Arabidopsis thaliana: one gene and its partners. The protein of the gene in region 2 interacts with the protein of the main gene of each other region in a pairwise test. Each region holds a gene or a part of one and is shown on either strand. Other genes may lie near its edges.

Region 1 (8,249 bases), on a different chromosome or scaffold from region 2:
ATGGGCCCAGTGCTGTCAAAACAAAATCATGGGCCCAGTTGATAAAATAAAAAATATGGGCCCAACGATACTTTCCCAATTTGGGCTTCTCTTAAATCCTCAATTATTATCGTCTCAAGCTCTCTCGAGCCTTCTTCAGAACTCTTCTTCTTTTCGTGCTTTTCACATTCCCGCCAACAGAGAGTAGAAATCTTCTCCCACAAAACCTCAGATGAATCATCCCAAGATTCCGACGCCGGGTAAACAAATGGAAGCTCCTCGCTCCGTCGGAGGAAGAATACAGAGGAAACCGCTCGCGGATTGTACTAACACCGTCTCCAGATCTTCTCAACAGTCATCTTCTTCTGTAAAATTCGCGAATCCGAGTCTCACTTCTTCACTAAAGAGATTAGTAGAACAAACTACGCTCAAGGAGAAACCCAAAGATGTTAATACTTCGGCGACTGCTCCCGAAATCGCTTCTCGGCCTATTACCACGGACGTTAGACCCGTAACTCGCCGTATGTCTGCTGATCTGGCTTCTCCGGCCTCAGCTCCTTCTCGTCCCCAAACATCGCGATCTGATATGGGTAATTGATTTAGCTGCGATGATTTTGTTCCAGTTTTGTTATACTGTATCAAATTTTAAGGAATTTCATCTGAATTGAAATTGTTCGCAACTCTAGGGTTTTAGTTTTCGGGTTTTGGGTATTTTTAGGAATTATTGGAAGAAGGTTTAGATTGATGCTTGAATTTATCATGTTTTCTGTTATAGTGGAAGAGCACTAATTGGGTCACTTCAAATTTCCAAAACGGCACCAATATTGAGTGGATTGAAAATTGCTATCAAGCTAGTTCTCAGTCTCTGTTGATTTTCAATTGGTATTTTTGCAAAATTGGTTTCTGTGTCTATCTTATACTGATGTTAAATAATTGTCTTATGCTTAGGTGTTAGTGACAAGGATTTTACTGAGCCTTGGTCTGTTTACACGGTAAGAAGGAAGGCCTCTGGACAAAAAAGAAGTAAAGACGCATCTTCCTCTACTAGTGCAGCAGCTCGCATTCGTCTCGACTTGTCATCAAGCTCTGGGTATGAAACCCATTCGATCATATATTTGCTATGGGAAAATTGATTTGGCATGGCTAATAGTAGCTAATGTACATATGGAATCAGGATAGAATGTAGTTCATGCTGACTAATTTATTGATGCCTGTTCTTTTGAAAGAATCTTGTCAGTAAGAAATAGTAGATGAGATAACTTTTGTTAGTGTTACAGTTAACTTTCATCAAATTTGTTTAGCATTTTGTGGGCTGTTTATAATCAACCATGTTGTTGTTAGTTAATTTTCTTTGAAATTTGTATCACAGGAAGAAAACACGTCAAGCTAGTGAAAACAAAAAGAAGACCTTGAAAGTGGCTCCAAAAAAGGTGAATTCAGGAAAGCTCTGGCTGTTTACTTATCAGAACTGTAATAATTCTATGTTGTTATCATCTTTCTGCGAAAAAGTAGTCAATACTTTGATCTATTGGTTTTATGGCTCTAGCAAAGTGTATATCAGTGCATTGTATGTTTCAACATTGATTGTTCACAACGTTCTTCTGCCACATGTCTGAAACCAGTGCTACACATAGTTTGAAGTGAATTGCCTAGTCCTTCAGTTTCATGTATATTCTTCTTTTTTTCAAAAGTTGGATTTAGAATATTGTCACGAGATACAGTGGGATTACTGTTTAATGAGATATGCAATTTGGAACTCCCATTGTTCAGTTATAGAGCCTTATGACTATTGGTAACATATAAGTTTGCTCCAAATCTAATTCTGCATTTGTGGTTACATTACAGAGACAGCGGACGGTAAAGCAAGAGAAAGAGGATCCGGTTAGTGCAGCTTGTCAGGATTATATCGAGAAGCAGAAAGCTTACTTTGCAGAGATTGATGCATTTGAGCTGCCAGTAGAAGAGGTATCTAATAGCGACTCAGACTAAGTAAGAAGAGATAACAATCTTAAGGATATCATAGAGACACCATAACCCGTTCGTAATCACTGTATAGCTAAGGAGTATTCTCACAGGAAATGTTTCACTGGTCACTTAGTACACATGACACGTCAAATCTGTGTATACAAAATATCTATCGGTTTATAATATTTAACATCGTTTCAGTGGGAGAACGTTCTTGGTTCTACTTAGACATGAATTGACGAAAAAGCCTGTCCACAATACACAGGTAAGGCCACGACTGAGAGACAAACTATATACTTACATTCACACACCAATAACTATAACACTCTCTGTTCAATGAGGCGAAGCAGCTCATAGAAAAAACCAAGCTTTATTCACATAATCAAGCTTTATTCATGTCGCTGATGATTAGAGCTTTACCTGTGGTCTCATGTCTCTTCATACCCTCCATTGACCCAGAGAACAGAGCTCTTGTCACACTCCCCATTGAAGAACTACAGCCAAGTCTTCCCCCGTTGGAGCAACACAGAGTCGAGGTTGGTGAAGACCTAAGCTCATCCTCTTCGTAGTTAGCGTACAGAAGTGGCGATTTTTTGTCGTGACTCATACGTTTTTTCAAAGAATGTGGTGGCGAGGAGGAAAAGGAAGATGAAGATGACGTAGAAGACCAAGAAAACGATGAGCTTGCCGTCTTCTTGCTACCGTGATTGCTCCTCCTGAGATCACTGAACATGGAGAAGGACAGAAACTTACTTAGTTTTGATCTCACCTTGCTTTGCGTCCTTGGTGTCGACAAAATCCCGGAGGAGTAGTATGAGGGCGGCGGTGTGAGAGGCAGAGGAAGAGAGGAATCGGAGCAGAGGTGGTTTTTGGGTGTTCCTGGCCTTGACTCCCATATGAATGGTATGGAGGCTCCGCCATAGTAGGAGGATCTCTCTTCATCGATTGCAAAGTCATCTTCTAGTCTTTCTGACATCTGTTTTTTATAAACTCTCGGTTTATGTTTGAGTCGGCTTTTGATGAGAATTGATGTACGAAAATTGAAACAACAAGTGCTAGTTTCGAAGCTTCTTTAGAGGTGACAAAGAGTAATATGTATTGCGAGTAAAACAAGTTTGCCGATGAAACAAAAGAATCTTCTTTGCACGGTTGTATATAATCGTGGATATTTATTCTGCTTTTTTATTTTCTTTAGGAAAAATTCATATGGATGAGCATATTACAAGTATATGGAAGATCATACATAGGGGAAAAAATTGGTTAGATAATAAATGAAAGGTGGCTATCTTACTGTATGCATTACTTAATGCGTTTTCATTAATAATAAGAGAGTCGTGAGGTGAGGATCACATTATTGGTAAACAGTTACTGTAGTAAGCATTGCTTAGAGTATTTAATATGTTACCTTTTGTGGGATTCCACTCTATAAACCTTTTTATTTGGTGTTCTTATAATTAAGGAAATAATTATTGACCAACAAATCCACACGTTTTAATATATATCAAGACTACTAACCTTGTTTGTCGTAATTTGAAACTACTGACCAAAAGTTTGGGGCATGTTCATCCAAAAGATATAATGGTTTACATTTAATGAAATGATAATTTAGATAGGATATAATAGGGAACTACTCAGAGTGTCAGACCAAACCATCTGAATACGTACCAATGTCAAGTGCTAACTGGTAACTCCCAACAATAGTAATTAGAAAAGATATATATATTTGTCGGTTCTAATTAGTTGGAAGAAACGTATGCGGAGAAATAAATAGAAACGTGAGAGATCGAAAGACGACGGTGATGAATTTGGACGGTTGAGTGAGGGAGGTCGTATAATTTAATGGTCGTTTCCAATCGTATTCGTACGTGGTCCGTTTTCTCCTACTCGGATTTTGCTTTAATGTGATGGCCACACAAATTGGTTAGAAAACTATAAGGGAAAGCTCCACCTATTTATTTCACTCATACATTTACTATACACTAATATCGCACGGGAAAATTATAACAATTTTCGGATATTCGTATTTGAACAGAAACAAACAACACATACGTAAGAATTTCCTTCACAAAAAAGCCCAATATAGACGAACTTGAACTTCGTACCAACGGCCCAATATCGCTTCCTTAATCAACGGCCCAAAATTTTCATTTATTAATTAATCAGATAACCAATCAATAGAAGCCACGTCGCCACAGCCATTAGTAGTAGCATCATCAAAGCCTGCATTCTTGTTCTTCGAGTCTCTCTCGTGAGTGACTTTCATTACCGAGAAAAACACAATCATAGAGAAGCTCTCAATCTTGTTTGCTTCTGATCAGTAACTATGATTACTGTAAATAGATCACTCTTTCATTATCTTTCCCTTTCACTTGTACAAACCAATTCGTTCTCGAGCTAACGGAAATGGCGGAGAGGCAACAGAGCCCTGCGGCGGAGACGATTCCCGGTACACCCGTAATCCGGGAAGTGAGAACCGGAACCGGGTCCGAGAATTTCAACCCGGAGAATACAAGGAGAGGATGCTTGAGAGCTGAAATCGACATTTCTCCACAGTTATATGGTGGTCGTGGGTTCTGGGTTCCCTTCAATCTTGAAGACAATTACGTGAGTTCTCTTCTAGTTTCCGATTTACAAAGTCTGTTCATTTAAAGTTTGAGCATTAATGTCACTGAAAGTTTGAAATGTATGTTCTCTAACTGTTAAGTATGCTAACAAACTGAATAACTGATAGCTGATTCGATTTGGTTACTGAGTAGATATTTTGTAATAAGTGATAGCTAATTTGATGTTTGCATTTGCGGCAATTGATTCTGGAACTAGCAAGATGTTATGTAAGATTTTTTTTTGGTATTATATAGCATGATTTGTTTTATGTTTTTTTGGTTTGTCATTCTTCAGGACTGTGTGGGAGAATTTGACATAAAGAGAATGGAAGAACAGACAGTGGAGCTTGAGAAGGATCTGATTATGAAAGAGTTAGAGACTCTGGATCTTCTTGAAGCTCTTGGATCAACCAAAAGGATTTTTGAAGATTTGAAGTGGCAGCTTCAGCAGCAAGCACTGAGATGCAAGGAGACCCCTCAACATTTGCGTTCACACTCCAAAGAGATGGTCGATGAGCACTGCCATCGTAATCCCCTGAAGTCTCCGGATCTGATGACCATGGAAATGAAGCAAGCTGGTATGAATCTTTGTAAAACCATGGATGATCTTGCGTTGATCCACTCTTATGCTGAATCTCTGAATATGAAAACGAAGGAAGAGAAAGATGTCCTTGGAGTAGCGTCTCTAGCGGAGGAACTTAACAGTTTGAAGTTTAAACCAGCAGGTCCTGATCAAGTAGAGAGATTCAATACCGAGAATTTACCAGTGAATCCACAATGTGAACAGATTAAGATGGTAGTTGAAACCTATGATACAGCTTTCCATAAACAGAGCAAAACCTGCCCGAGAACTGCAGATATGAGATTGGTTGCTGCAAGAAAAATGGAAGAGGCAGCAAGAGCAGCGGAAGCACTTGCGCTTGCTGAAATGACCATATTATCCAGCAGAAGAAACCAAGACGCTCTCTGCTTCCCTAAGACACCATGTTTTCCATTAACACTTAAAGCACAGATGAACAAAGAATTATCCACCAATGTCTCAAGAATAGAGATCTTGAGGAAGCTGGAGGAAGCTAACGAAGAAGTTAAACAAAGTAAACAAGCCTTGGAAGTTGCGTTAAACCGGGTAGAAATCGCTAGTGTGAAGCAACTTGAAGCAGAAGAGGCATTTCGGCAGTGGAACATAGAGTCATGGAAAGACCAGAAAGCTGTTGGAGCAAAACGCTCGATGAAAAGAGAAAGCTTTCCTCAGCGCTCTTTCTTGAGCCATATCAATCAGCACGAGCCACTGATCGATCTCCCTGAGCCAATGCTGAAACGTAACGTCTCAATGGGTAATGCTCTTAACCGAAAAGATGAGAAACAGTTGGTCACGCCGAGGAGAAAGTTTAGGTTCATACAAACACATCAAGCTTCCATTAGAAAAACAGAGTAAGCTAAAAAAATACCCAACCTTTGAAAACATGTTTTGCACATTTCGATTCCTGTTTTTTTTTATTCTTGGTTTGATCATTGATGGGTGTTGTTGCTTCCATCAAAAGCAAAACACAGATGATTAGAGTGAGATGTGTTGTTTTGACTCAAATGTGACAAAAAGAAAAACATTATAGTAAAAACTAAAGCTTCTAGTAATCATAATTAATTATGGGAGTTAGTGAAGGGCATTGATCATATGATTTAGGTGGTGGGCACTTTCTTAACTAATGCATTTTAAGTGTTAGATTAGCTAATTAGGTGATCCATAATCAATACCGTAGGTCCTCAACTGTTTATTTTTTAATAACGTTGGTCTTTATAATGTTTCTAGATTCTCAAAATAGAAACTGAAACATTCAGGTTGAACTACGGAGATAAAAACACATTTTACGATTTGACCAGTTTGTACTTTATACTGTATAAGTTTGGAGTGGTCAGATACAGAATGATGACGTGGTCAAGGCTTTTAAGACAATCTAGATATCTCCAATAACTTAATGCCACGTGTTTTAGTCTTCACAACAAAGATTTCGTCTGGAATCCTCGTATTGGCTTAGAGCGTGGGACCAAACGAAACCAAAAGAAGGAAAAGGAACTAAATAAATAAATAATTAAAAAATAAAGTTGAAAAGTAAGAGTGGCGTGGGTTAGCAAAATCATTGTCTCAGGCTAAAATGTGCCACTCCCAACACGTGGGCTACTCTTTTCCAAGTGTCAACTATCTGACGGTACGTTTGCACTTTTTTAAATTAGGTTGCTTTGCGCTCGTTTCGTGTCAATAATCCAAAGACAACGTCTTTATCTTTATTTATTAATTTTGTTTCTCCTAAACATTAAATGTTGTAGCTTTTTGATCATTTTTCATGTTGTAAAATATAATATAATACCCTCTGCTTTGCTTATAAAACGGAAAGGATGCATAGTACACAAAGATCCAGACCAACAAAAAAAAAAGAGGGAAAATCTCCTTGTTCAATAGTCAATAAGTTAGCCGCTATCGATCTTTAGAAAGATCCGTCGATGAGTCCATCCCATGGCGACCGGACCACCGCATTTGCCTCGACGGATCTAGTCATGTTGAGCATGGTACCGGTATTCAACCATCCTTAATTTCATTCTTTGATACCTTTTAGGCATGATACTCTTGATATATGATTCTATAAAGGTATATATATTGAAACTATTTTATGTAAGAAGTTTATTATTGAGGGCACACGTGCAGACATGTTTCAGGCTTAACCATATGGAGAAGGGATGATAACGAGATCTCTCTAGACGTGGATGGGATTTTCGGTTCAAAGATGGAATATTCATATAAATTCACATGCGGATTATAGTTAAATCGGAATAAAGTTTTGATAAGTGGACTCTCCTTACCTAAGTGGGGATGGTAGTCCAGTCTTGTATCAATATATATATTTGGGCTAACTTAGCATGCATATAGAATCATTATCAATGTGTTAGAATATTCTCCACCTATGTTTCGTTCATCCCAATTCCCACATTACTTCGAAAGGTGTCTCAAAAGGCAAGTCATTTTTTCTGGCTATGTATTATTAAATGAAGCTTCGGTTACTAATACTTTTCCACAATTTTCCCCCCTAATTTATTATAAGTGTTTGTAATGGAGAAAGGTTTGATGGAATTAGTAGTTTCCTTTTATGTATGAATGTGATATGTTTTATATTGTAAAGTAGGTTAGCAACTATTTCACTAGAAATCTGCAAAAAGCTACATTATTTATCAATGGCCAAAAAAACATTTGTGGCTAAAAATGAATGGCCACTATAGATACCCTATGGCTATCTAGCTAGCCGTTTCCATGAGAACAATTTATGAGTTTGGAGAGCATGTTTGATCCATAGAAGCAGAATGTGGAGGCTTGAAGGAGGATCGAGACCAGCGAGATTGGTGAAGAACCTTCAGATTGAGTTACTAAAAGTGCTAGAGAAATAGATGATCTTGCGTTTCGTTCTCTTGATGTAGCGACCCCTATCACAAGTATAAAAATATGGAAGCAAAAACAAATTCTGAAATTACATATTATTAATCTTTTGTGCCATGGGACCGCTTATACAGGCTAAGACAGACAATATCTTAAACCCTAAACATTTTCATTTTCAATGAATTTTACATTCTTAGCAAAACAAATTAACAAACAAAAAAGAGAAGAAAAAAAACGATTCCAAGTAGCTATCGAATATACAAACCGTTCACCGTTTCTTA
Region 2 (8,413 bases):
GGATGAATTTTTGTAACTCATATAGATTTTTGTCTATGTGCTGAGTATATTGGATGGTAGGCTCTTCGAAGAGGAAGGAGGAAAGGAAGGTGACGTTAGCCGCAAGCAAATGTATGATTCGTCTATGTTGATGATTAGACAAATGCAAGCGCTCGGACAAGAATTCATTGAGTAATCTTAAAGGAAATATTAGGAATGTTCATAGAATTTATCTTTGTTGATTATGTTAAAACTTAAAGAGATTTTCGGTTCTATTAAGAATTCTTGGATGAAATTCATCTAAACCACAATTTCATTCATATGACAAACTAATTTGTCATCAAAAAATGTTTTTCCCCCTTTTATTGCTTAAGGCATATCTAGAGAAAGAGTAGTCACACATAATTTATTTTTTAATTAAAAAAAAATTATAAACAAATAAATAAATAATCTCAGGAAAAGCATAGAATACATAAAAATTTAAGACAACAATTAGTGACTTTACATAAAAACACAAATTAATAAAATATAATCTTTCACATTTTAATAGACTGATAATTAGGTATATGAATATATTCAAGCTACACGACGTATAAATACATGAATCTTTGTAGTATCAACGAAAGTAAATTAAAGATTAAATTTCAATGGAGATTAATAATGGGACTTTCATCGTCATCGACATTGAAGGATTCAGTATAACGAGCAGCATCACGAGCACACCTGGTAATTTTTTCACAACCTCTATGGTAATGGTTAACTGGTTGTTTGACACATGAATTGGGGTTTTTATAGCCACATGCCGGAATTCGGTCTCCTTTAATAGATCCGTACCCTAATGTTCTTGCTTCTCCACTTCCACAAAACAAAAACATTACAAGCATCATTGTAGCAAATAGAAAAACAATAGGACTCTTCTCGTATGCAACCATATTTTTTTTTGTTAATTTTCTTCTTAACTATTTTTGGGTTTAATTTGCTACAAGAATTAGTGAGTAATTATTGTATACATTGTTTCAGAAATTTATAATGAGACAAGAGTTGGTTAATAAAGTTATGTTGTTACATATGCCAGGGAATAATACATATTCATGGAGTTCATTTGTCATAAACATCTCTTTTTTTTGGGTTTGTTTTTTTAACTGTGATATTTCAAACAGATAAATCAAATTTTGGAAGGTTTGTCAATATGCCACTATGCCAGCAATGTTTTTTGTTACATAACAAAGTGTAACTAAAGACTTTTGGTATTTGTGTATTTTAAACGGTGAAAACTTGAAAAACAAAACTACAACATCTTAATCTTAAAGGTCAGTAAGCATTAATCTTCAAATTAGAAAAGAGTGAGTTGGAAAACAAGAACAAATTAAGCTTGTGGATGGGTCATGTTCGTCGTACTATATGGCCTCTTGTTTCATCCTAAAATCATATTTCGTTCGAAAAAATATATTTTAAAACAAAATTTGAGTAATTGATCTTATATGTAATAAAAATTGTCTACAAATATTAGAAAAATATTGTCCATAATAATTTGTATACTTCAAATTAATTTGTCCAGTTACTAGTTACCATTGTCTGCCTGAAAACAAAAATTGTCACCCTAGAATTTCTATAACATTTAGCTAGACATCTTGCCTAAAGGACTTCCGATTAACATTACTTAACATAAAACTTGATAAAGCTTCAGTTCCATGTCAGAAAAGTAGGAACGGTGGTGGTACAGCGGTGGAAGGTTGTGTGCTGCGGAGAAGCTTTACATTTGGACATAGAAGGAGGCTTTGGGGGATGTTTTCTTCGTCGTTGAGAGAGTGAGATCGACGTAGAACCATCGGCACAAGCTCCGGCTGAAAAGAAACAAGAGATGAGATGAGGAGAGAATGAATACTATGTTGGAGAGGAATAGAAGAGGAAGAGAAAGCCTCTCAATTTTTTGCTTATTTAGAGAGATGAAAAGAAAGAAGAAGATGTTAGCCACTATGGCATACTAGCTAGAAAAGACTTTGGGCAATATGGCATTTTCAGAACTACAGTGATGATAATATGGCTTCACTGTTGATAAAATCTTGTTTTAATGTCCATAGGAGTATTTGTGTCTTAGGAAGTCTTAGATTATGTAGTGATTTTAAGAGTTTTTGTGACATTTCGTATCATTTGGGAGTTGGAAACAAATAAGATAAAAGAAAATTCAAACACATGACTAAATGTGTTCGTGCTTCCAAGGATGGTCGATCAATCTCTGAAATTATGATCGTCCGACCACATGATGATCGATCCAGCGTTCAAAACATGGTCGACCCACCATGACCGAATACTATATTGAAAATTTTACTTGTCCAAGAACTACTAGGTGTTCTTGAAAAAAAAAAAAGATAAGAGCTATATAAGTTAACCATCTCAGAAAATCTTGAGATTGTTGATTAGTTTAGAATCATCTAATACGAGTGTATGACGAAAATTCAGAGAAAATCTTTCTTATATTACACACAGACATAAGACATAACTCTGGCTCTAAGATAATTTATGTCATTTCTAAATCAACTGCAAGTATATTCACACCGAAGTCCCTAACTTTAAAATCATTACTCGTTCCTGCATTGCTCTCCAAAGGGTGGCAGAAGAAGAGCCAATCTTGCCTTGTACCTCGCGATTCTCTTTAACCGTTCTTCTCTCAATCTGCAAACAAAACAAACCACACAATTTTGTTCAAAACAAAAAATATTCAATCTTCAACCATCGAACTTAGCTTTGATGATATGTTGTGGGACTCACCGAGCGCGGACCTTCTTAGCTCGGTCTATATGTCTTTTCAAAAGATCAGATTCTGACAAATGTTTCACAGATTCCTCGTCCTGAAGCTCATCAAGAGAGTTGAAGTAAATAATCAAACTTAGCTTTACCCTTCACAATTACCATTTTAGAAAGAAATCAGAGAAACACGAAACCTCTTTGTCTTCTTCGCAAATTGCTTCTTCAACTAAATCTTTTGGCAAACTTGTCTCCGTCTTGTCCACAGGTAAAGGCTTTGGCAAACATGTCATCATATCAATTCGCTGCGGCTGTAAACAACGTCATTAATCTTCCAAAGATATCAAGAATAGATATACAAAAATCCAAGTGTTGCATTATACTACAAAGCAGAAATAAGAAATGGATACGAACCTTAATTCCCTCATGAGCACCATTTCTCAACCAAGATCGACACAGCGAGTATAAAGAAGCTCCCTCGGTTATTCTAACCTGCAGAACAAATAAAAAGTATTTAAAATTCCTCAAATGGCGAAGCAAGCGGTTTCGAACGATAATGCAAAACCAAAAAACAAGGATAAAACTATACCTTTCTTTTTCTAACGAGGACCAGAGCATCATCCCGGCTCCTAAACACCATGGAAACGAAACAGAGACATTATTAAGTTTCTAGAGTAGTTTCTAATTAACAAAGCATAATGGCAAAGAAGATAAAGTACCTGGCCTTCTTATGCCCACTGTTGTCTAGAATTGAAGTTGGAGAAGGAGTAGCCTAACAATCAAAAATCCAAAATTTACAAAATGTAACCTCACACAAATATCTAACAGAAGTTTCAACCTTTCCTAATTCATTAGAGATTGCTATTCGAATTCTACAATCACCAAAGCAAATAATCTTCACTTCAACATACACATTTTCACTAACTAGCACAAGCTACAAAAAAAACACTTGACAAAACTATGGAATTAAACAAAAAGATTCAAACTTGTTTTGGTAACGAAAACGATAACTAACCCGAGGTTGCAAAAAATGAGGAACTCCTTTCATATGACCGGAACCAAGTTGAGGAGATTGTTGATTCTGAGGATGTGCAGCTCTCATGAACTGATTCATTGGATCCAAATTCGACACGAATTGGCCATGGTGGTATCCGTAAACTGGCCCTCGAGGAGTATACCCACCTGGACTAGGACTACCAACTGGATCAGCGACGGAATTGGAATTCTGTCTAACGGGTCGGGTCGGAAACCCTCGACCCGAAGAACCAAACGGGTATATCAGACTAGACGGGTCTGGGTGAGGAGGCTGATGAGGCGAATTAGTAACGGAATTCGAACGCCTAATCGGTAAAGGGTTAGTGTAGATATTTTGATGAGGATGATGACGATGAAGCGGAGCTATGGCTCTGTACGACGAAGCTGGTGTTTGAGGTTGAGGTTGAGACGACGGCGTTATGACTGTGTTAGGTTGTGTCACCGGAGATTCAGATGCGGTGACGATTGGAGTCGATACTGCTACAGAGACGGAAGGATTTGGATTTGGATTGGGATTGGGATCGGGAGTAGACATTGTTCCGGCGGATTTTGATTTCTGAGAAATTTGGGGAAAATCAAGTTAAAGACAACGATTCAAAATTTGGTAGCTTTTTCTTTGATTTTCAGGACACGAACTCTTTTTAAGTTCCTTCTAACTAACTAAACTAGGGCTCGGTATTTAATGTTTTGGTTCGGTTTTTTACTTTTTTCTACTCGGGTCCGGTTCAATGTGAGATTTACATTAACGAAAATTAATCCAGGATTTTAAAATGCTGATTTAGTTACGGCTGAAATCTTTTTGGGTAACATTTAAACCATAATGCAGCCATCGTATGGTTGGGTTCGGTATTAAATGTGACCTTAGTTCTAAGTTTCACAGAAAGAAGTGTAAGCTGTCTGAATCTTGAATTATTTATTTTTCCAATAATAATCCATAAGCTGAGATATCTGGCCACAGCTCAGAGAATGTGTAAAGTTTAAGACTCTACATAAAACATAATGGATATGGGTGGGGTATATTTAGCAGCAGCACAAAAACAGGGGATGATCATCATCTACAAAAAGATTCAAGATTCTGTAATGGCAGCAACATGAAGCTGTTGTTGTTGCATGAGGAAGAAATAGCAATGCGCATCTGAGTGAGTTTTAGAAGCCGGCCCATCCAGCAGGTTGAGCTGTTTTCTGGTTTTCTCTCATCTTTGAGTTCCCATATCTCTGTGAAGTGCTGTTTCCAGAGCCCATAGATCTTTGTGTTCCAGATGCAGAAGTAGCAGCTGCAGACGTTGCAGCGGCTCTAAAGGATTCTGTCTCGAAACCCCATGGCTCAAAACCTTGAGTACCTGCAGCAGAAGCTGGTTTACTTCTGGTTCTCACAGACTGATTAATCGTATTATTGTTACCCTTTGATGCAGATTCCATCACGGGTTTCGCTTCATCACTAAAAGGTTGCCATGAATTTGTATCAGAGCTGCCAGTTGACCAGTTAGATCTGTCCTGTTGAAGTTCCCACATTGTTCCTTCCATCTTATCTCTCTGTTTCATCAAGAACATTAGAATTCTAAGATATACATTGATGAAGACTTTTGTATGGGTGTCTAAGCTTAGATGAACAAGAACCAAGAATAATACCGATGGAGTTGATGACATGGAATGCATCCCTGGAGAGGGTTGATTTTGTGAAGAGTCTCTGCTCGGTGACGGTGAGGCACTTTTAGAGGCAAGTGTTTGTTTGAGATCCTGCAACTCTTGCCTTTGCGATCTGCAGATAGCAGAAAGCTTTTCAAACTTAGCAGTTATTTCTGCCTTCTCTGATTTTGTTTGCTTCAACTCGTCTTTTAACCTCTGTATCTCAGCTTCCAATGCCTCTTCTTTGCCAGGTTTATTACCATTATCGAACTTTGTGGTATCAAAGTCAGCAACAAACGAGTTGAAGGCATCATCCTTGGACACTCTTGTCATGTTATTGGCTGCAGCAGGAGTTGTATTCTTCTGAGAAATCGTAGTTTCAAGATCTTTATTTCTTTGAATACCACGAGCCTCTCCTCTCACAGGACTTGGTTTTTTGGGTTGATGACTATCCACACGAACTCTTTCAGATTTAGATGTGTTACTGTTTGGTTCATCAAATTTAGGCATGTTTTTGTTATCTTCTGATACAACTGAGGTTTTAGCATGCTGAGTCGCCCAAAAGGCACCGAGCGGTCCTCCACTATCTGATTCTCCAGAAGATGGTGGCGGCGGTGGCGGACTTCTACGAGGTGCTGGAGAAGGTTTAGTTGCTGATTTTGATGAGCCTGTCAAAATTCATAAGGATCAAAAGAAATCACATCTTTCTTTGAGAAGCTATCCAAAATAGGTTTTATTCACTATACCATCATGGACTCCAGTAGATTGCATTTCAGGTGGTCGATCCGGTAATGATTTCTGTAAATTAGCAGGAAGCTGCTCATTGACACGAAACCAAATCTGTAGATGGACATGTTGTTAGAGACATTTTACATTTCCTCAACTGAGAAGAAACAATGAGTAAAAATTGACTTTTAACCTGTGTAATATCTGGTCGTTCATCGGGTGAAGCTTGGAGCATTTCTTTGATGAGATCCGTAATAAATACACTGTATTTAGGCGATTCTGGAATACGATAATTCCCGTTTAAGATTTGCAGCTTTGATTCTCCATCAAATGCATTCTTGAAATAGCATATCCGAAACAAGAGACATCCAAGAGCCTATTTTTTTTTAAAAACAAACCTTTACTTTCAAGTTTCAACCAAATAGATTAGCAATCTGGAGAGATTGAAAAAGTGTCATCACATACCCATATATCGACCTTCTCGCTTATCATCTCCCTTCGAAAGAGATCCCACATCTATTGCCAATAAAGACATAAATCAAACATTTTTTCACCACTTTTAAAACTCTTATAATCTGCATAGGTGCATATCCAGTCAAACCTCAGGAGCTCTATATGTTGGTGTTGTGTATTTTCTAATATTATCTTCTTCAATTCCCATCTCTTCTGCTCTTTCAAAAATCTTGTGATTTGTCGAAACGCTTCCAAAATCACACAATTTCCATTGTCCATCTGAGCTCAATAGAAGATTCTCAGCCTTCAAGTCTCTGTCACGATTAGCAACACCAATACAGTATCAATTCACATCGCTTGCTAATGTAAAAACGAAACGAAATCTAATAATACAACATGTATACCTGTGAGCAATGCGTGGGGATTGACAATGCATTGCAAAGACAGCATTACACACATCTCTAAAAATCGTAAGAGCTTGTTTCTCTTCAAAGTAACCAGCACCTCTATTCTCAAGCACATCCACAAGAGATTTACCACAAAAATCCATAGCCAAAAGAGCTTCTTTTTTATTCCTCCCCATATCCAAGATACCATGTGCGTAGAGCGTGACAACATTTGGATGTCCCTTGAGGGATTTCAGAACCGAGATCTCTTTCATTACGAGTTCAAGTGACTCCTCGTCATTGCATATCATGTGCTTCAAAGCATATTGCTTTGACGCGTGATTTACATCTTGAGCTAAGTAAACACTGGAGAAACCTCCTTCCGCAATGACATTTCTAACTTGAACTTTCAGATTTCCTATCTCGAGAAATCGACCTTCGAGACCCGCAGGTTCTTTTTGAGCAAAAGGTTTAAACTTCCACATGTTTGAATCAGTGGAAGTAATAAGAATGCTGCATAAACATAAAATCTGTTACAAAACCAAACAAACTTCGGAGAACAAGATATCATGATCAATAGGAGATGCCAAGATCCTAATGAGATATTCAAATACACAGAACAAAAACAAAGATAATGATAAGCACCTAATCTGCTACACAATTGCTCAGTTAAGAAACCAATCAAACAGATCTATTCTTATATGACCAATAAAGGGAGCTAAAAGCTGAATCCTTGATCAGAGAAACCAGATCAACACACAATAAAAACATAAGAACCTAAGGAGAGACTATTGAAGAGTCTTATAACTCGAACTAGATCCGATTAAGAATCTGGCGACTATGGTCAGATATGGTATCAAAGTACAAGACGTTATCATCAACCAAAAACTTCCATGTAAAGCTACAGAATTCAGCTCAAACTCACTTCACACTATACCTACAATCAGATTCTCCTCCACAAAGTTTTTACAAGAGAAGAACACTAGCGAGTCCAACGATTAACAGCTCCGATGAACACAAAATCTAAAGATTCCCAGATAGATAATCGAGATCTTAACCCACAAAGCTCGGGAGAAACAGAGAATCGGCAGATCAATCAAATCCAATCGAAAGAGACAATAAAAATTATACCTTTGCAAAAACCCAGATGCTGAGGAGTGCCAATCCAATGAGTAAAAGAATATATTTACCCTAAGAATCGAAATCACAGTAGCTGCATTAAGATCTGCGTTCACTTTTGCGTATAAAGGAAACAACTTTAAAAGGGGTGATTTTGAGAGAGAGATGATGAAGAAGAAGAAAGCGGCAAATCCGGGAATAGAAAGGAAAGTGAGATAAGAACATTTTGGTTATGGTTTTGTATAATAAGCCGTAAAATTAAGACGTGAACCTGAACGTGGACCGTGACCCTCCCAATACCTATTTTTATTTGATTATTTCACATTTGTTGACGCATTTGTACA
Region 3 (7,746 bases), on a different chromosome or scaffold from region 2:
ATGACGAGGCTGCTCTTGCTATTCAGATGGGCAACGCTCAGCCTTTCCTCTTTAGCAGACAGATAAGGGTATTTGCTTCAGTTAATGTTACATAGATCTATCTGTTGTTGCATCTACGTAGACAACCAAAGTCTGCTTGTAATTGGTTTTTACCAGTATTCCCCTAAACCCATTTCCTTGTTTCTGTGATTTATTGCAGTGTTCCTGGGGAAACAAACCAACTCCATCAGGCACAGCCTCAAACCCACTTCCCCCACCAGCCCCGGCATCAGTCCCTTCTCTGTCTGCAATGGACCTCTTAGCCTACGAGAGGCAACTGGCTCTAGCCAAGATGCATCCTCAGGCTCAACATTCTCTGAGGCAAGCAGGTCTTGGAGTCAATGTTGCTGGAGGAACTGCAGCTATGTATGATGGTGGCTATCAGAATGTAGCTGCGGCCCATCAGCAGCTCATGTACTATCAGTAATAAACCCTCTTCACTGGCTCTGAGATACCTTTTTCTGTTTCTTTCTTTTTCTTCTTCTTAATTTTATAACTTTCTTGCTTTTTCTAGACCTTCCTTGTTCAAGAGTCTTTATGTATGTGTCTCTTTCATTTAAAGCCGTTGGTTTTATTTATGTATGCAGAGCTTTATGCTCAGTTTGTAACCTATAGGTCTTACTTGGATTGTAAGCCAAGCAATAAGACAACATCAAATAAAAGGGGATTTGGTTTTCTGGGGTTAATGTTGTTTGTGGTTCTGTAATGATAGGTTTGAAACAAAGTAATTTGTCTTTTATAAAAGTTTTATAGTTTCATTTCTCATGTTAGTACTTTATTTTGTCGGAAATCCAGTTTAACTAAGCATCAAGTGTTCTGTCCACGAGTGTCCTTTGCCATGCAGCAAAGTATATAATTAAGGTTTTTTTATTTGCCTTTGTCGTTCATAGGATGTAGTAGAGAATCTTGATATAGGCTTCAACATTTAAACGATTAGAGGAAATTGGCAGGGTTCAAATAATATTTTCAAGACCCTGTAATAGGGTACATTGATTCAAGAGACATTACATTTAATACTGACCTTATCAGTAAATATTTACATAATTACATGCATAGGTTATTTATATTTACACAAAAACCCCGTAAGATTTTTCTCTCTCGGCTTGTTCAACGGTCCAACGCGTTTATCACAATCCTGCATACGTACACAAAGCATATCATAAGTACACACATAAAGAGTTTGCCCACAACAACAAAAAAGAGAATTGATTAGGAAATGAAGTGATAGAGATGATAACCATTCATAAGTAGTTAGACTTGCTGCATCGTCTTCGCCAGAGGAAGGGATTTTGCCGGCAGTGAATGGTCCCAAAGCATAGCATGGTGTCCCAGCTGCATAAAAATGTGTTTGACCCAAATGTGAGTCTTAATTTTGTTATTGTTAATTTAGTTTAAAGGGAAGATGAGAAATATATACGGGTTAAAGGTGTCCCAGGGTTGCTGCTTGAACAGGTTGGAGAATCCGGATCCATTTTCAATTTACGGAGACCACGAACATTGTTATTCCCCTTGGTAACCATGATGCTTCTGGTGACTTGGTCGCTTGAGAGAGAAGGAGGAGAAGATCGGACGGTGGATAATGAATCGTGCTTTCTCAATTTCCCGAGACCATTGTCCGGCGTCGGTCCGGCCACCGTTTCATCCCACAGCTTGTGTAGGAACCCCATCCGATCAACAAAAATTTATCCAAAAATATATAACAATATTTTTTCAAATTATTTCGGGTTTTTATTTTACTGTCTCTATCTTCTTTTTTTTTCCTTTGCAATGGAAATGGTTTTATAGAGGTAGTAGAGAGGTAAGGATGAAAGAGAAGAGAGAAGCATTGAATATTTTTAGTGAGGTTAATTATAAGCTTTGGCTTAATTAAGGAGATTTTAATTTAAGGATAAATATGCTGACTAATCCAATCATTAGTCTCTAATCTCATTGGTGAATATTCTATAAGCTGTGTCTTAACTTAGAATCACAAACTACTAGTTCAGAACTCTACTTAAGAATCACAGAGGTTTTCAACAAGCTATTCAAGTTCAAAGCTTTTTAATTTGCCCATGTTTAAGACAAGAAGATGGATAACAATAACAACAACATGATGATAATCAGAGTCATAACTTCTCTACATTTACACATCCCACAAGGCAGTAACAATAACAACAACAACAACATCAAAACCTAAAATCCAGCTTATCATAGCAAATATCATAGGAACATTTGTGTGTTCAATTGTCAGCTACTTACATTGCCGTTATTCTTGCCATTGCGATCATCATCATCATCAACGATCCTCCTTTCTCCTCGCTGCCTGCTCCTCTCTTCCTCTTCTTGATTGTTCTGTGTTATCTCCAATTGAGTTTTCAAGAACTGCATTCTCTGCAACTCCATCTCTTTAGCAAATTTCATCCTCTCCTTTTCCAGTTCCGCCATTAACTTAAGCTTAGCAGTTTCCGCCTTCTCATAAGCTTCCGTAAATCCAAGTATCGCCCTCGCCACATCTCCAACTCCACTCCCTCCACCTCCACTCTTATCCACCTTCAACCGCTTTGGCATATGAAACGAAAGCGGTTGAATCGGTTGCAAAGGTGGGAGACTCTCAGCAGATTCCTCAGGAGAAGCCTCAGGTTCAGGATCAGACTCAGACTCAGTCTCAGAAGCACTACGTTTCCTAAAATGCCACCGCATCGAATCAGAGCCTCTCTTCTCTTGTTGTTGCTGCACAATCTGATTACCTTTAGTTTGCCGTTTAAACATACTCGAACGGCTATTCCCAAGAGCTCCTCCCATAGGAGCCTTCTCTGAAGCTTTTGAAGAAGCAATGAATGTTGTAGTACCACCAATCAAACTCTCAAGCTTCTTGAAGAAAACCCATTTACTAGGTCCATCACCAGAAGCAATCTTAGCTTTCTCTTGCTTATACTTCTTCTTCACCGTATCAATTCTGTTCTTACACTGAATATCAGTTTTAGGGTATTTGCATTGACGACTCTTGTTCACAATCTCAGCTACTTCTTTCCAATGTTGTTGCTTCAAAGTTCCTTTACCTGGTTCAGAGAATCGATCTCCCCAAGCTTCGATTAGAACCTTTGTAGCTTCTTCGCTCCAACAATCATCTCTTCCTCCTCCACCACCACCGCTTCCTCCTCCTCCTCCTCGTCCGTTTCTGTTTCCGCTACCACCACCACCGGTTACAGAAGGAGTATGAACCACTAACGCTAAAGCGTTCATGGACGGAGATTGAGAAGAAAGCCCCGGTTGTGGTTTCTTCACGACGGCCACCGTCACGTCGTTTGTTGGCAAAATCGGCGGAGAAGGAGGAGCTTGTGGTGAAAGGGAAGAATCTCCCGGAGATGGAATTGACTGAATCTCGTCGTCGTCCTCCATGAAAAATCGATCGATTCGGAGAAGGTAAGACGATCTGAGGATTTTGCAAAATTTTGGATCTGAGATTCGCTCACCGGCGAGGGGATAAGGTCACCGGATAGGTAATCTCCGTTATTGACCCGATGGATATGTTAAATGACGAAAACACCCTTCACTCTTTCCTTTAATAACAAAAGAACAATATTAGAAATTTAGAACCGTGACAGTATTCGAATGGTTTTATGGTAAATACTCAAATATCGCTATAAGGTATTTATGCTTTGGCCATTTTTTCGTTAGGAATATTGAATATACACACTGACGGATTTCAAAATTTCTCTAATATACAAAAGTATTTTTATTTTCTTGTCTATAGTATGGTTAGGTAGGTTGTCTCAAGTCTCAAAAACTCTAACTAAAATAAAACGAGATAAATCAAGTCTAATGGGCTAAGGCCTGGAATAACTTTCAAGGCCCAATAAAAACAGATATAAGAAATAAAAATACAAAATAGAACAAAGACATAAATCAAGTCCAATGTGCTAAACGGCCTATAAATAACTTATAAGGCCCAATAAAAGGAGATTTAATGACGTGGAAGCTTTTGAAACAACTCTCAAGTTCACTAGTTACTTCTAGAAATTTTCTCTGGAACTTTCTAGCTCACTGGTGTTTACTCACTATATATCAATGGAGTGAAAATTTCAAACCCCATACTATCAAATCGAAGAAGAGGAAGATCCAATTGGAAAGGGTTATCCTAATTCCCAGGTAATGATCCTATTCTCTGTATCGATCTTTTCCTGGAAAATTTCAGAATTGTTGATTTTTTTAACTGTTTTGTTTTCTGGCAGTCATTGATCGGAGAAGATGAGTGCTGTTGCGATTAACCACTTTTTTGGCTTACCGGAGGCGATCGAGAAGCTAATTCTCCCGATTTCTCGTTCCGGCGAAAGTAATAACGAGAGTCGTGGAAGAGGAAGTAGCAATAATATCCCAATAGACATTTTGGAATCTCCCAAAGAATACATATTTTATCTCGATATCCCCGGAATTTCAAAATCAGATATCCAGGTATTGATATAATCCCATAGAAATGTTGAATTGTTTATGAAATTAGGGTTTTTTTTTTAATTTAATTTATGATTTGGGGGTTTTGGTGGGAAATTAGGTTACAGTGGAGGAAGAGAGGACTTTAGTGATAAAGAGTAATGGGAAGAGGAAGAGAGATGATGATGAGAGTGAAGAAGGGTCTAAGTATATTAGACTCGAGAGGAGACTTGCTCAGAATTTGGTTAAGAAGTTCCGGTTACCAGAAGATGCTGATATGGCTTCTGTAACGGCTAAATATCAAGAAGGTGTTTTGACAGTTGTTATCAAGAAGCTACCGCCACAGCCGCCGAAACCTAAGACTGTTCAAATCGCTGTTTCTTGAGTAGTTTCTGTGTTTTGTTTTTGTGTGTGTTTGTTTTCTAGTTTGTAATTTTTCTGTGTTTGGATAAAAAGACTCTGTTTCTTTTATGTGTTCTCTTGTCGAAATTTTGAAATTGAAGAAATAAATAGGTTTAGCCTCCAAAACCAAAAACAAATAAAAACGTTGTCGACATTACCACCATAAGATACTCCTAAGGCACTGGGCTCTACAAAATTTTTGTGGATTCTACAAGATTAATGTTATAGGAAAAATTCTAAAAAAAATTCAAACTATTTTTTATTTAGAAGTTTAATACCCAAATGTTTTTAGTCAGAAAAAATACATATACAAATTAAAACATACAAGAATTAATATCTAAAATTTTATATGTTGTTATTTTTATACATGATTTTATGAATAATTAAAAATTTCAATTTTATCTTTAACTTTTTAATTAATTATTTATTTTAATTTAAAAAAATTATTTTGGTTCTCTTTTAACCGGATTAAACCAAATCAAAACTGGTTATTACCACCACCAAATTTTGTTCTTGTCATGTTAACCCGATGAGCTTTCCCAATCCAACAACCAACACGCCAATTGTCAATCTGGGCTTTATAAACTTTCTAGAGCTTCCCTCTTCACCAACACCATGTTAACCGACTCTTACCTTTGCAAATTCTTCTCTACGAACAAGAAGCTGGTTAACACATCGACGAACAAAACTCGGTGGTGGTGATAACCAGTTTTGATTTCGGTTTAATTCGGTAAAAAGAGAACCAAAATATTTTTTAAAAATAAAATAAATAATTAATTAAAGAGATAAGAGTAAAGTTGGAAAATTTTGATTTATTATAAACTCGTGTATATAAAAATAACAACACATAAATTTTTGGGTATTAATTCACATCTTTTAGTTAATATATAAAATTTTCTTCAAACTAAAAATATTTGGGTATTAAATTTCCAAATAAAAAATAGTTGATTTTTTTTTTTGAATTTTCATGTTATATGATTACTTTACAAACTTTCTACGATGGTTAATTATTATATTCGTTTTTTAGTCTTCTTCTGTTTAGATGAAATTCGGTTTTTGGTTTTCTTGGGTATGGATTGAAGCCATGATATTTATGAAGAAAAATGAAATAGTGAGGAATTAACGTGAAAATGAGCAAGATATATGTGTAGTACAGTGGCATGAGTTGTTCCAGAACCGTAATGATATTAAGTATTAATTTATAGAGGTCTCACTCTATTAGTATATAAATAACTTTCATATATGATTACATGTTTAATTAAATGGGTAGAAACCAGATAATATATTTTGTTTTTGAGTTTGAATAAAAAGTTTGCGAATGCGTTGTTGCTCTCTGTTGTCGAGATTCTGATGAATACATAAAATAACCATCAACAATTTTTTTTTGTATTATTGTTTTTTAAGCAAAATATTGTAAAATGCTTCTGATATATTAGAAGGACCACGTAATTAATATTCACATTATTACATTTAATATAGTATCTACTCTGTACCATACATTTTTAGTTGTCTAGCGATTGATTTCCTTCACCAGGACCACTTACACCTTTAGCTAAAGTCACAGCTGATAATTGATTTCATCAGGGCCTGCACAACTTCAAGTCCGCAACAACCGCGTGGCCAATAGTTGGGATACATCTTGTTTCCGATATGATCATATATGCATAATGTTTGCACAAAAAAAAAATCAAGATATATTTTTATAGCAAATTTCTTTTTTTTTTTCTTTTTTTTTTCAGCAAAAGCTCAAATTCCTAATTGTTTGATCAAACTTAGTGTTCCTTCTGTTTTTAGAAACATAATGTTTTGGATTTTACACAAATTAATAAAAAATAATTTTTTATTTTTTATTACTCCTTGTATCATAAAAAATGATTTTCAGAGGTTTTCATTTTGTATGAAAAAGATTGATTTTCTGTAAAATTTATCAATCAATGTTAATAAATTGTGAAATTTTAAAATCATTAATTGAGAAATTAAAATTTTGATGAATCACTATTGGTTAATAGTTATGACTTATGAGAAATGGTTTAGTATGAATGCATAGTACATTTATAACTAAACATTAAATGTTTTTCTTAATTGATGCAAAAACTCTATAAAATCAATATTTTTGATACAGATAGAATATTATTTTGTTAGTTTAATAATATTAGTTCCATTTTTCTTTTCTCTATTGGTCACAAATAATGTTATTACAAATCATCGATATCATGGAACAAGAGAAAACCATAACATCAAACTATTAAGAACATAAGGAATATGTAATTTATAAATTTCTAGTAGTTCATGGAGATAAGATTTCTAGTGTTTTTCTCCAATTAGCAGGTTTCATTTGCATAGCTGCACTTACTGGGATGCAAATCCCACAGCAATAAATATGTCAAAGACGTACTCTTAAATACTACATGTTTATATCGTGGTCGTTGCGTTATGTCATAGGCGACATCATGTGGGTTCTAGGGCTAGCTATTTATGCCGACAGCTGTCAACGTGAGAGAAAAAGAAGCGGTGGCCTACGGCATCTGATTTTAGAAAAAGATTAGGGGCATATATTTTAGTAATAATATATAGTTTATCCTTACCAAAGTTATATAAATATGGGCAAGTAATATAACTTACCATGTTGAAGTTTACATATAACTTAGAAAAAGATATGAGTTTCCACTTTCATCTACAATTAAATTTCAAACATTAGTTTCTAATACGTTAGTTTATTAAAGGAAAATGTAAATACATACGCTTATAAGTTATAACTAAACAATTAAGGGTTACAAAGAGATTATTGGTTTTCACTTTCCTCGTTATGTCTTTGGGATTTCCTAATTTTTTTATTCTAACGTAATACAGTAACAAAAACAAACGTTTTCTCACCAAATCATCTCTACTAGTTCAAAA

The links. The genes of interacting proteins can lie anywhere in the genome.
Region 1: the proteins of AT2G32840 (region 2) and AT3G56270 interact in a two-hybrid assay, tested with the Arabidopsis thaliana proteins (one large-scale study listed by BioGRID).
Region 3: the proteins of AT2G32840 (region 2) and ASIL1 interact in a two-hybrid assay, tested with the Arabidopsis thaliana proteins (one large-scale study listed by BioGRID).

Annotation. Positions count from the first base shown.
Region 1 is NC_003074.8:20,865,873-20,874,121, forward strand, and holds AT3G56270 (WEB family protein (DUF827)), read left to right. Parts: upstream 1-4,127; 5' UTR 4,128-4,347; coding exon 4,348-4,548; intron 4,549-4,842; coding exon 4,843-5,982; 3' UTR 5,983-6,235; downstream 6,236-8,249. Other genes in the region: AT3G56250 (uncharacterized protein), read left to right, coding at 212-569, 928-1,069, 1,349-1,409, 1,825-1,944, 2,210-2,284; AT3G56260 (uncharacterized protein), read right to left, coding at 2,327-2,920.
Region 2 is NC_003071.7:13,930,543-13,938,955, forward strand, and holds AT2G32840 (proline-rich family protein), read right to left. Parts: upstream 4,408-8,413; 5' UTR 4,295-4,407; coding exon 3,740-4,294; intron 3,497-3,739; coding exon 3,444-3,496; intron 3,354-3,443; coding exon 3,314-3,353; intron 3,217-3,313; coding exon 3,139-3,216; intron 3,036-3,138; coding exon 2,922-3,035; coding exon of another isoform or gene 2,886-2,921; exon of another isoform or gene 2,829-2,885; coding exon 2,749-2,828; intron 2,653-2,748; coding exon 2,559-2,652; 3' UTR 2,297-2,558; downstream 1-2,296. Other genes in the region: RALFL16 (RALF-like 16), read right to left, coding at 624-911; AT2G32850 (Protein kinase superfamily protein), read right to left, coding at 4,906-5,292, 5,389-6,053, 6,132-6,225, 6,305-6,487, 6,577-6,627, 6,713-6,878, 6,969-7,435.
Region 3 is NC_003070.9:20,176,643-20,184,388, reverse strand, and holds ASIL1 (6B-interacting protein 1-like 1), read right to left. Parts: upstream 3,780-7,746; 5' UTR 3,418-3,779; coding exon 2,266-3,417; 3' UTR 2,015-2,265; downstream 1-2,014. Other genes in the region: UBP1A (oligouridylate-binding protein 1A), read left to right, coding at 1-68, 200-466; AT1G54070 (Dormancy/auxin associated family protein), read right to left, coding at 1,147-1,174, 1,278-1,371, 1,457-1,706; AT1G54050 (HSP20-like chaperones superfamily protein), read left to right, coding at 4,267-4,470, 4,568-4,831. UniProt on the Arabidopsis thaliana protein: Transcription repressor that binds specific DNA sequence such as the GT-box-like motif 5'-CGTGATT-3' in the AT2S3 promoter. Negative regulator of seed maturation genes during seed germination and seedling development.